Yarrowia lipolytica: one gene and its partners. The protein of the gene in region 1 interacts with the protein of each later gene in a pairwise test. Links are inferred from orthologs where the notes say so. Each region holds a gene or a part of one and is shown in the gene's direction. Other genes may lie near its edges.

The links.
Region 2: the proteins of YALI1_B13886g (region 1) and YALI1_E23313g interact in binary tests that used the Saccharomyces cerevisiae proteins (3 or more experiments, as listed by UniProt). The link is inferred for Yarrowia lipolytica from reciprocal best matches to the Saccharomyces cerevisiae genes NCS2 and URM1.
Region 3: the proteins of YALI1_B13886g (region 1) and YALI1_D21565g interact in binary tests that used the Saccharomyces cerevisiae proteins (3 or more experiments, as listed by UniProt). The link is inferred for Yarrowia lipolytica from reciprocal best matches to the Saccharomyces cerevisiae genes NCS2 and NCS6.

What each region holds. Positions count from the first base shown.
Region 1 is NC_090771.1:1,386,836-1,389,801, reverse strand, and holds YALI1_B13886g (uncharacterized protein), read left to right. Parts: upstream 1-1,121; coding exon 1,122-2,396; downstream 2,397-2,966. Other genes in the region: YALI1_B13915g (uncharacterized protein), read left to right, coding at 1-158; YALI1_B13888g (uncharacterized protein), read right to left, coding at 451-945; YALI1_B13828g (uncharacterized protein), read right to left, coding at 2,773-2,966. UniProt on the Saccharomyces cerevisiae protein: Plays a central role in 2-thiolation of mcm(5)S(2)U at tRNA wobble positions of tRNA(Lys), tRNA(Glu) and tRNA(Gln). May act by forming a heterodimer with NCS6 that ligates sulfur from thiocarboxylated URM1 onto the uridine of tRNAs at wobble position.
Region 2 is NC_090774.1:2,330,384-2,332,205, reverse strand, and holds YALI1_E23313g (uncharacterized protein), read left to right. Parts: upstream 1-860; coding exon 861-883; intron 884-931; coding exon 932-1,208; downstream 1,209-1,822. Other genes in the region: YALI1_E23302g (uncharacterized protein), read right to left, coding at 1,280-1,390, 1,470-1,822.
Region 3 is NC_090773.1:2,155,206-2,158,140, forward strand, and holds YALI1_D21565g (uncharacterized protein), read left to right. Parts: upstream 1-1,311; coding exon 1,312-2,409; downstream 2,410-2,935. Other genes in the region: YALI1_D21553g (uncharacterized protein), read left to right, coding at 120-869. UniProt on the Saccharomyces cerevisiae protein: Plays a central role in 2-thiolation of mcm(5)S(2)U at tRNA wobble positions of tRNA(Lys), tRNA(Glu) and tRNA(Gln). Directly binds tRNAs and probably acts by catalyzing adenylation of tRNAs, an intermediate required for 2-thiolation.

The sequences.
Region 1 (2,966 bases):
TTCAGCCCCCGGATCTGTCGCCTCCAGTGACCATCAAATTCGACACTTCGCGGTTGCAGTTCACTCCGGCTAAAGATAGTGCACGACGGGTCGTTCAGGGAGCTCTTCGGGAAGCTGGGGGGGAGCTGGATAGCGATGATTCCATGGGAAGTTTCTAATCGCTAAGTCCAAAAACGGGGCTTAGAGTCTATGAAAGAATGGATATATTACGCAGTAAATGACTCGTATAGAAATATCCTTACAGTAATGGTTATATGTGATCTTCCTATGATCTGGGCAAGGGCCTGGGCTTTGTGCGGTATTACATCGAGAGACCCTTGTGAAGTTTAGCGGACACATGATATTCAATCTGAGCAGATGCGAGACGTGATTCTCTCTAATCCTGATCAAACATCATTTTCAACCATCCTGATCATCTCTCCACGTGGTAGATCATCCATCTACGTCCACCTACACCATGTACGCTTCATATGGTACACAGACATTCCACGTTAATAACAATATATACAGGTACTGGTCTACCAGAGGAAACCACTCTTCTTGTCCTTCCGTCGCTGCGCCAGCTGGGTTAGTTATATTCTCCGTTTCAAAAATTTCGCCACTTTGCTTTTTATTACTCACCCACATCTTCTTGCAGTCCCGGTAAATCTGAAAGTACTCCTCGCACATGGCCTTCTTGTAGTTGTTTCGCTCCAGGCAGTTGAGCGACATTTTGGAGGCCTCGGCACATGGATCGTAGTACTGTGAGTCGGCCTTGGCCAGAAACTGCACCCGGTTGGACATGGCAGTGGGGTCGTCGGGTCCGTACTTGAGTTTTCCGTCCCGACCCTCCTTGGTGAAGTCCACGCCGTACTTTTGACGCAGCTGTTCTTGGGTCATGGGAGTGCCATCCTCGTTCTTCATGAACTTGGGTTTGTTGTCTTCCGAATTGCTTTTGTCCGCCATTGTCTTGATATCGAGGGTATTGAGAGAGAATCCACTGTAGATAGCGGGCAAGGGTTGGTATGGAGGCAACAAACTCTGTTGTGCGTCTGGGATGCACAAGATGAAATTTCCCAATATGATTCCGAATCGTTGGATGAACCACACTTGAACCTCAAACCAACGTCAAAGTATTTATCATGTCCGCCGAGTCCACCTGCCGAAGATGCGACGGTCCAACGGCGATCAAAACGCGCCAGGCAAACTTTTGCCAGCCTTGTTTCATCACCTTTATTCAGCAGAAACAGAGAAAGGCCATGGAGGGATGCAAGGTGTTGTTTGCACGACCAGGCTGTGTACTTCCTCCAGCTATTAACATTCTGGTGCCAATCTCGTTTGGTCAGTCGTCACTGGCTTTGCTCGACATGGCGCACGCCCAGCTGGAAGAACAGGCCAAGACGTATGAAAACGCTGCAGGCTTCACTCTCAACGCCGTGTTCATCGACTGTTCTGAAGCTGATCCACTGGAAAAGGAGCCCAATCAGATCATCAGCGAGCTGGAGAAACGGTTCGCACATGCCAAATTTACCTGCATTCCGCTTTCAAAGGCTTTTGAGGGCGCTTCTTCTGTCACTCTTAAACACAACAGAGATTACACCTCGTTCGTGTCCGGTATATCCGAGGAACCCACCTCTGTGCAGCAGCTGCTTTCGTGTATCGGCACAAAATCTGCTCGAGAAGACATCATTTCTGTGCTCCAACGCCATCTCATCATTGAAGAAGCTAAGAAGCAAAATGAATCCCTTCCTACAACCGTAGCATGGGGACACAATGCTACCCGGTTGGCAGAACTAACTCTCAGTCTGACAATCAAGGGGCGAGGAAACCGAATTCACGCACAGGTGCTCGAACATAAGAACCCCAAGGACTCCATTTCTGGTCTCCCCGAAATCCATCCTCTTAACGATGTGCTTTCCTACGAGATTCCCTTTTACAACTCGTTCAGAAACGTGTCTGATCTCGCTGTCGACACCGTCTCAAAGCCCTCGCAGGTGACCAAGAACCTGTCGATAGATCAGCTCATGCACCAATACTTTGAAAATATCCAGACAAACTTCCCCTCTATTGCATCGACAGTCGTGAGAACCGCTGCCAAATTGGATGACCCTAATGCTGCCAAACAAGGACTCACTCCCTGCCTCATCTGTGCATCCCCAGTTGACCCTAACCAGTCGCTTGCATGGCTCACAAACATCACCGTCAATGAGCCTGCTGCCCCCGAAACAGAAGAAGAGGAGGAGCTAAGTAAAAAGGCGCATATGGAAAAATCCCAGGAAAAGACGGGTGATGCGGATAGACATCTGCCAGTACCCAACCTTTGTTACGGATGCATCATCACTATTAGAGACACTGACAGCTTCACTTTTCCTAAACGAGCTTCCAAACAGGATATTCTCGATGAGTTTACGCTCTAAGCCAGGAAGGGGCTTTCGTATCATAACTAATTTATTGTATATTGCACAAGACAGTAGAGGCTACCCGATTGGTGCAGTAATTACACATATTTCTGATACGTAGACGACTCTACAATACAGACGAGCCTTTGCTGTATTAGTTAATCGATGCCTGTAGCCTTACTAACAAGTTGAGTAGCTCTTCACAAGTATCGACAATAGAAATGTCCGCAGCATTGGTTGTGTTTGCTGAATATGGTGACTCGTTCCATCAGGTCCTCCAGCTAGATAATATACTCCCGCGCTCATTAGTTTGCTTGATCACAAGCTGTTCCATAATTATGTAATCCGTTATATAAATACAAGGACCTGCCTATACGCTACACACTGATCATAGCTAAAACAACTCCTTGAAATGCTCAATCATGAACAACGTTGAATCACTCTTGTGATGCACGTCGGCGATTTCCCGTTCGCCGGACGTGGCCCGTGCTAAAGTTGGGGCAAACACCATGGCCAGGTTCTTGTTGCTCATCAGATTGGTCTCGGCATGTTGAGTCACCCGGTTGAGATGTGTGCATAGTCGAGCCA
Region 2 (1,822 bases), on another chromosome or scaffold:
CAAGAAGTGACTGGTGGATGCTGATGGAACGCCGTGGAATTTCGAATTGACGGGGAAAATCCGCGCGGAAAAAGACAAGAACCACATACGCTGGGTAGCCACTCCAGGCGTTCACGTGACACCCACATTTCCCATAGTCAGTCCATTTTATGGCAGGCCTCTCCGTTTTACTCTGCTGTTCTGACGCCATTCCCCATAACTTCAACCTAATGTGGCTGCTTAGTAATGGTGGTTTTTTGCTTAGTAATGGTACGGTAGCTTAGTAATGATGTGACTGCTTAGTAATGGTGAGTAGCTGCTTAGTAATTGTGGGAGGGGTTGGGGGCGTGAGGTGAGAGGGGAAAAACTGTTGTAATGTGGATCTAGTTACGTGTGAGTATAATTACATAATTACATGTTGAGTCGAAGTACCAAAAGTGTTTTATGAAGCATTGGTTGAGTAGTTCACAAGTTTCTGACCGTTTCTGACGATTTTGGTAATTTTTTTATCTTTTCCCTCAAATTGTCTCAAAATTTTCAAGTTGTGTCCTCGGTGAGATTTGAACTCACGTCTCCAAAGTACACTTTATAAATGTCAAGTACAAAAATAACTATATATCAATTTTTTGTTGAATATTAATAAGTAACGAAAACAATCGCAATAAGGCAGCCTTGACGCTGAAATTTGAAATGATGCATTAATCAGTCATATTATATATCAAGGAGCAGTTCAGATGTCGCCACTACTTCTCTTTTAGCCACAAAAGCAACAGAAAGATGCCCCTCGTCGTAACCCTAATCTACTTGTAGGCAGAATCAAGATCAAGTGCCTATATTAATAAAAGCATGCATCATCTTCTTGCCTATACCAACCGCACACCATGCAAATTACTGTGGAATTCAGGTGAGTAGCAAGAGGCGCAGGAAACACCCGCGACGTCAACTAACCCAGTGGAGGGCTCGAAACCGCCTTCGACGGCAACAAAAAGCACGTGCTGGACGTGCCGGAGGGCTCCTCAGTCAATTGGCTGTTGCACCATATGGTGGAGACTCTGATGCCGGATCACAAGCGAGAAGAGGGCAAAAACATCTTCTTGCAGGACGAAAGTGTGCGTCCCGGGGTGTTGGTGCTCATCAACGATTCGGACTGGGAGCTGGAGGGCGAAGACCAGTACATTTTGCAGCCCCGAGATGTCATCATCTTTGCCTCAACTCTTCATGGAGGTTAGAGGAAAAGAGGGGGAGAGAAAGAGAGCTGGGTCAAAATGAGCCGATAAGCATGGGTCGCGGAAGAACCGACTTACAGCAGTCTCAATGCCGCCCCGATAAGCCCATTTCCTTCCCACTTGGCTGGGAGCAGCGTGAGGGTGAGAGTTTCTTCTTCTCGGAGAACCACCACATCCACGGGGTTCTGTGTTAGCAAACAAACAAACAAACAACCTGTTCAGAGTCACATAGCCAACCCATCCATGTCATAATATAATACTCACTCCTTCAACAACCGCGAGAGGCAAGGCTTGAGGGATACGAGGAGTAGTAGCCTCCACGTTTCCCAGTCGTACGATTTTGTCGTTGATTTTGAGTCCCACCGAAGAAGCAGGCGAGCCATCGGACACCACGCCCACGACGGCAAAGGGGACCACGTGGTCGCTGCGCGTGGCGGTAGGTGTAGCGGTAGGTGCAGAAACGGAGCCATTAGTAGTAACAGCAGTACCATCACCGTTTGACTTGGTCTGCTCCTTCTGGTTCTGCCAATGGCCCATAACAGCTTCCTCCAGCTCCTTCTGAATGGCCTCAATGTCGTTTTCCAGCCGGATGATCTGGTGGCGAGTGTTTCTGATCT
Region 3 (2,935 bases), on another chromosome or scaffold:
GATGCCCCTGTACGTTGTGCAACTTGTTATCGGACCCGGGTGAGTCCTGCCCGAGACCATTCGTAGATCTCTACTTGCCAGTTCTCATACCAGCCTCGGACCGTCTTGGCGGCGGCATTATGACGCTGATGAGCGGTGGCGTCGTCAGCGTGCTTCTTGCTGATCCACACACAGGTGGCCAGATTGTTTCCGGCCTCGTCGGGCACGCCAAACCAGTACTTGAGCAGACCTCCAGAGTTGTTAGCCTCGGCATGAGAAGACTCGTCGAGGTCGGAGAGCTTCTGACGCATATCGTGGGAGGTTCGCACGTGTTCAAACAGCCGGGATCGGAAAGCCACGCAGTGAAGAGTGACGCCTTCGGGCACCAGGGGAGTCAGGTCTTCAAACGGGAACGACTCGATGTAGTCACCTACAGCATAATCGGGCTTGACGGCCCGGAAAAGGTCCCGGAGGGCAACCACAATCTCATGGAGGTTTTGGGGCACCCCTCCGAGGTCCAGCAGGTGAGCCTGACCCGTGTAGGGAGAAGACTGGACCATTCGAGGACGCTCAGTGTCAAAGTGGGGTTCAGAAAGCGCCTTCAGAGACTGAAAAGGGTTGCTATCAATTGCAATGGTCGCCATGGTGGTAGATGTGGGGTTCAGAACGCAGTAAGAGGAAAGCTCCCAACCATCATGTCATTACAGATCTACTCGTCCAGGGTGTTTTTTTTCTTCTTTTTCTTTTCTTCTTTTCTTTCTTTTTATGTTCTTTTTGGTGTGCGTGCATGTGGCTTAAGCCACGATATGGAGCGGTTTGTAAGAATGCAGACGATAATGCGGATCGTTAGAGATACGAATCAAGAGCTGGAAACGAGAGGAACGCAGTGATGGCGTTTGTTTGACGGTATAGATGGAATTAAGCGGCTCAACAGGACCCGTCACCAATACCACCCTGCACGAAAATAACCTTAGTGTGGATCCACGGAAAAATAAAATTCGCAAAAAAAAAAACAAAAGAAAAAAAAAAAAACAGGAACAGCGCCGTACGATCACACGTGTTTAGATGTATATAGATTCGAATGAGGCTGAAATCAATACCATTTGGTTATACAAGCCAGTAAAGCTCCTCAGATATGCGAGAAGCGCGTTATATCAAAATTATATCAAAATTAAAACATTTTGACGCGGCTCCGGATCGAACCCACAACCACCATAAATAAACTTACTAAATAAGCATTTAACATGCGTATAAAACGCAACCTGGGTGATTTTTTGAAAAATGCTGAGTAATTAGCCGTTTCTCCTTCTACAACACAAGAAGATCGGAAAAATGCTGTGTGTGCTGTGCGAGTGCCGCAAGGCCATGCTGAAGCGACCCAAGACGCTGCAACCCATCTGCAAACCGTGCTTCTACAACGTGTTTGAGACCGAAATCCACAACACGATTGTTGAATCAAACCTCTTCTTTCCGGGAGAACGGGTGGCCATTGGAGCCAGTGGTGGCAAAGACAGTACGGTGCTTGCGCACGTGATGAAAACGCTGAATGAGCGGTACAACTATGGTGTGGACTTTGTGCTGCTCTCTATCGACGAGGGTATCCATGGCTACCGAGACGACTCTCTGGAGACGGTGAAGCGAAACAAGGTGCAGTACGACATGGATCTGGAGGTGGTCAGTTACAGTGAGCTGTACGGGTGGAGCATGGACCAGATTGTGGCCCAGATCGGCAACAAGAACAACTGCACCTACTGTGGAGTGTTTCGAAGACAGGCTCTTGATAGAGGTAGTGCCAAGCTAGGAATCGCACATATCGTCACAGGTCATAATGCTGACGATATGGCCGAGACAGTGCTGATGAACTTGTTACGGGGCGATACTGCTCGTCTGGATAGATGTACCGAACTGGTGACTGGTTCAGATGACTCTCCTGTCAAGAGAAGTAAGCCTCTTAAGTACGCATATGAAAAGGAGATTGTGCTTTATGCCCATTACAAGAAGCTCGACTACTTTTCCACCGAGTGCACATACTCTCCCGAGGCATTCCGGGGCACGGCTCGTACGCTGATCAAAAATTTGGAGGCCATTAGACCGTCTACCATCATTGACATCATTCACTCTGGAGAAGCCTTTGTGCTCAAGAAGAAGAAGGAGAAGAAAGGCAAGGGCTCTGTGGTTGTGAAGGCCAAGGTGGAGGAAAAACCTGTCCCCTCCGGTGGCTGTTCGGTACCTCTAGCATTTGATTCCAGCCTTGGGCTCTCCAACAGATGCACCAAGTGTGGCTATTTATCTCATAATGCCGTTTGCAAGGCCTGTGTCTTGCTGGAGGGTCTAAATGCTGGACGAGCCAAGATGCAGATTGAGGGAGACAGCGCTGACGGAGCTGCTAAAAACATCAAGACCTTGGAGAAGCTGGCCTTGAGTATTTAGTGGTATATAGCATAGTTATTTATTGATACATGGGGTAGCCATGATGGGTGAAGAATCAACACCAGCGAGACGCATCTAAAAAGTGCTCTATTTGTCGTGCTAAGCTCATAGTCGTAAGCAGAGGGAGCTCTGAACGGCTCAGAACAGCTGGATTAGCCACATTACGAAACAATCAATCATTATCGTCCCATATTTCTGCTTCTTCGGAGTCCGACAAGTGTGGCTAAAGTCGGAGAGTGGGGATAAGCCACGAGTATGAGATTCATATTGTGGAGAAAGGAGGGTAGTATGGCGAAAACAGGGGATTGGAAGACGAAATTTAACAGCTCAGGAATGGGTGTGAACAGAATGACGTCATTTCCGTCTGAAGCATGCACATCAGGTTGCACACATATCAATATGATGCACAGAAGACACCAAAGAAAGACCACACTCTCTATCAAATTGTTCATCCGATTAAATGTACAGCATTGGTGGCGTATGATGATATTTGCCATGAATAAGCCCAAAGAATGCCTATTGCAAT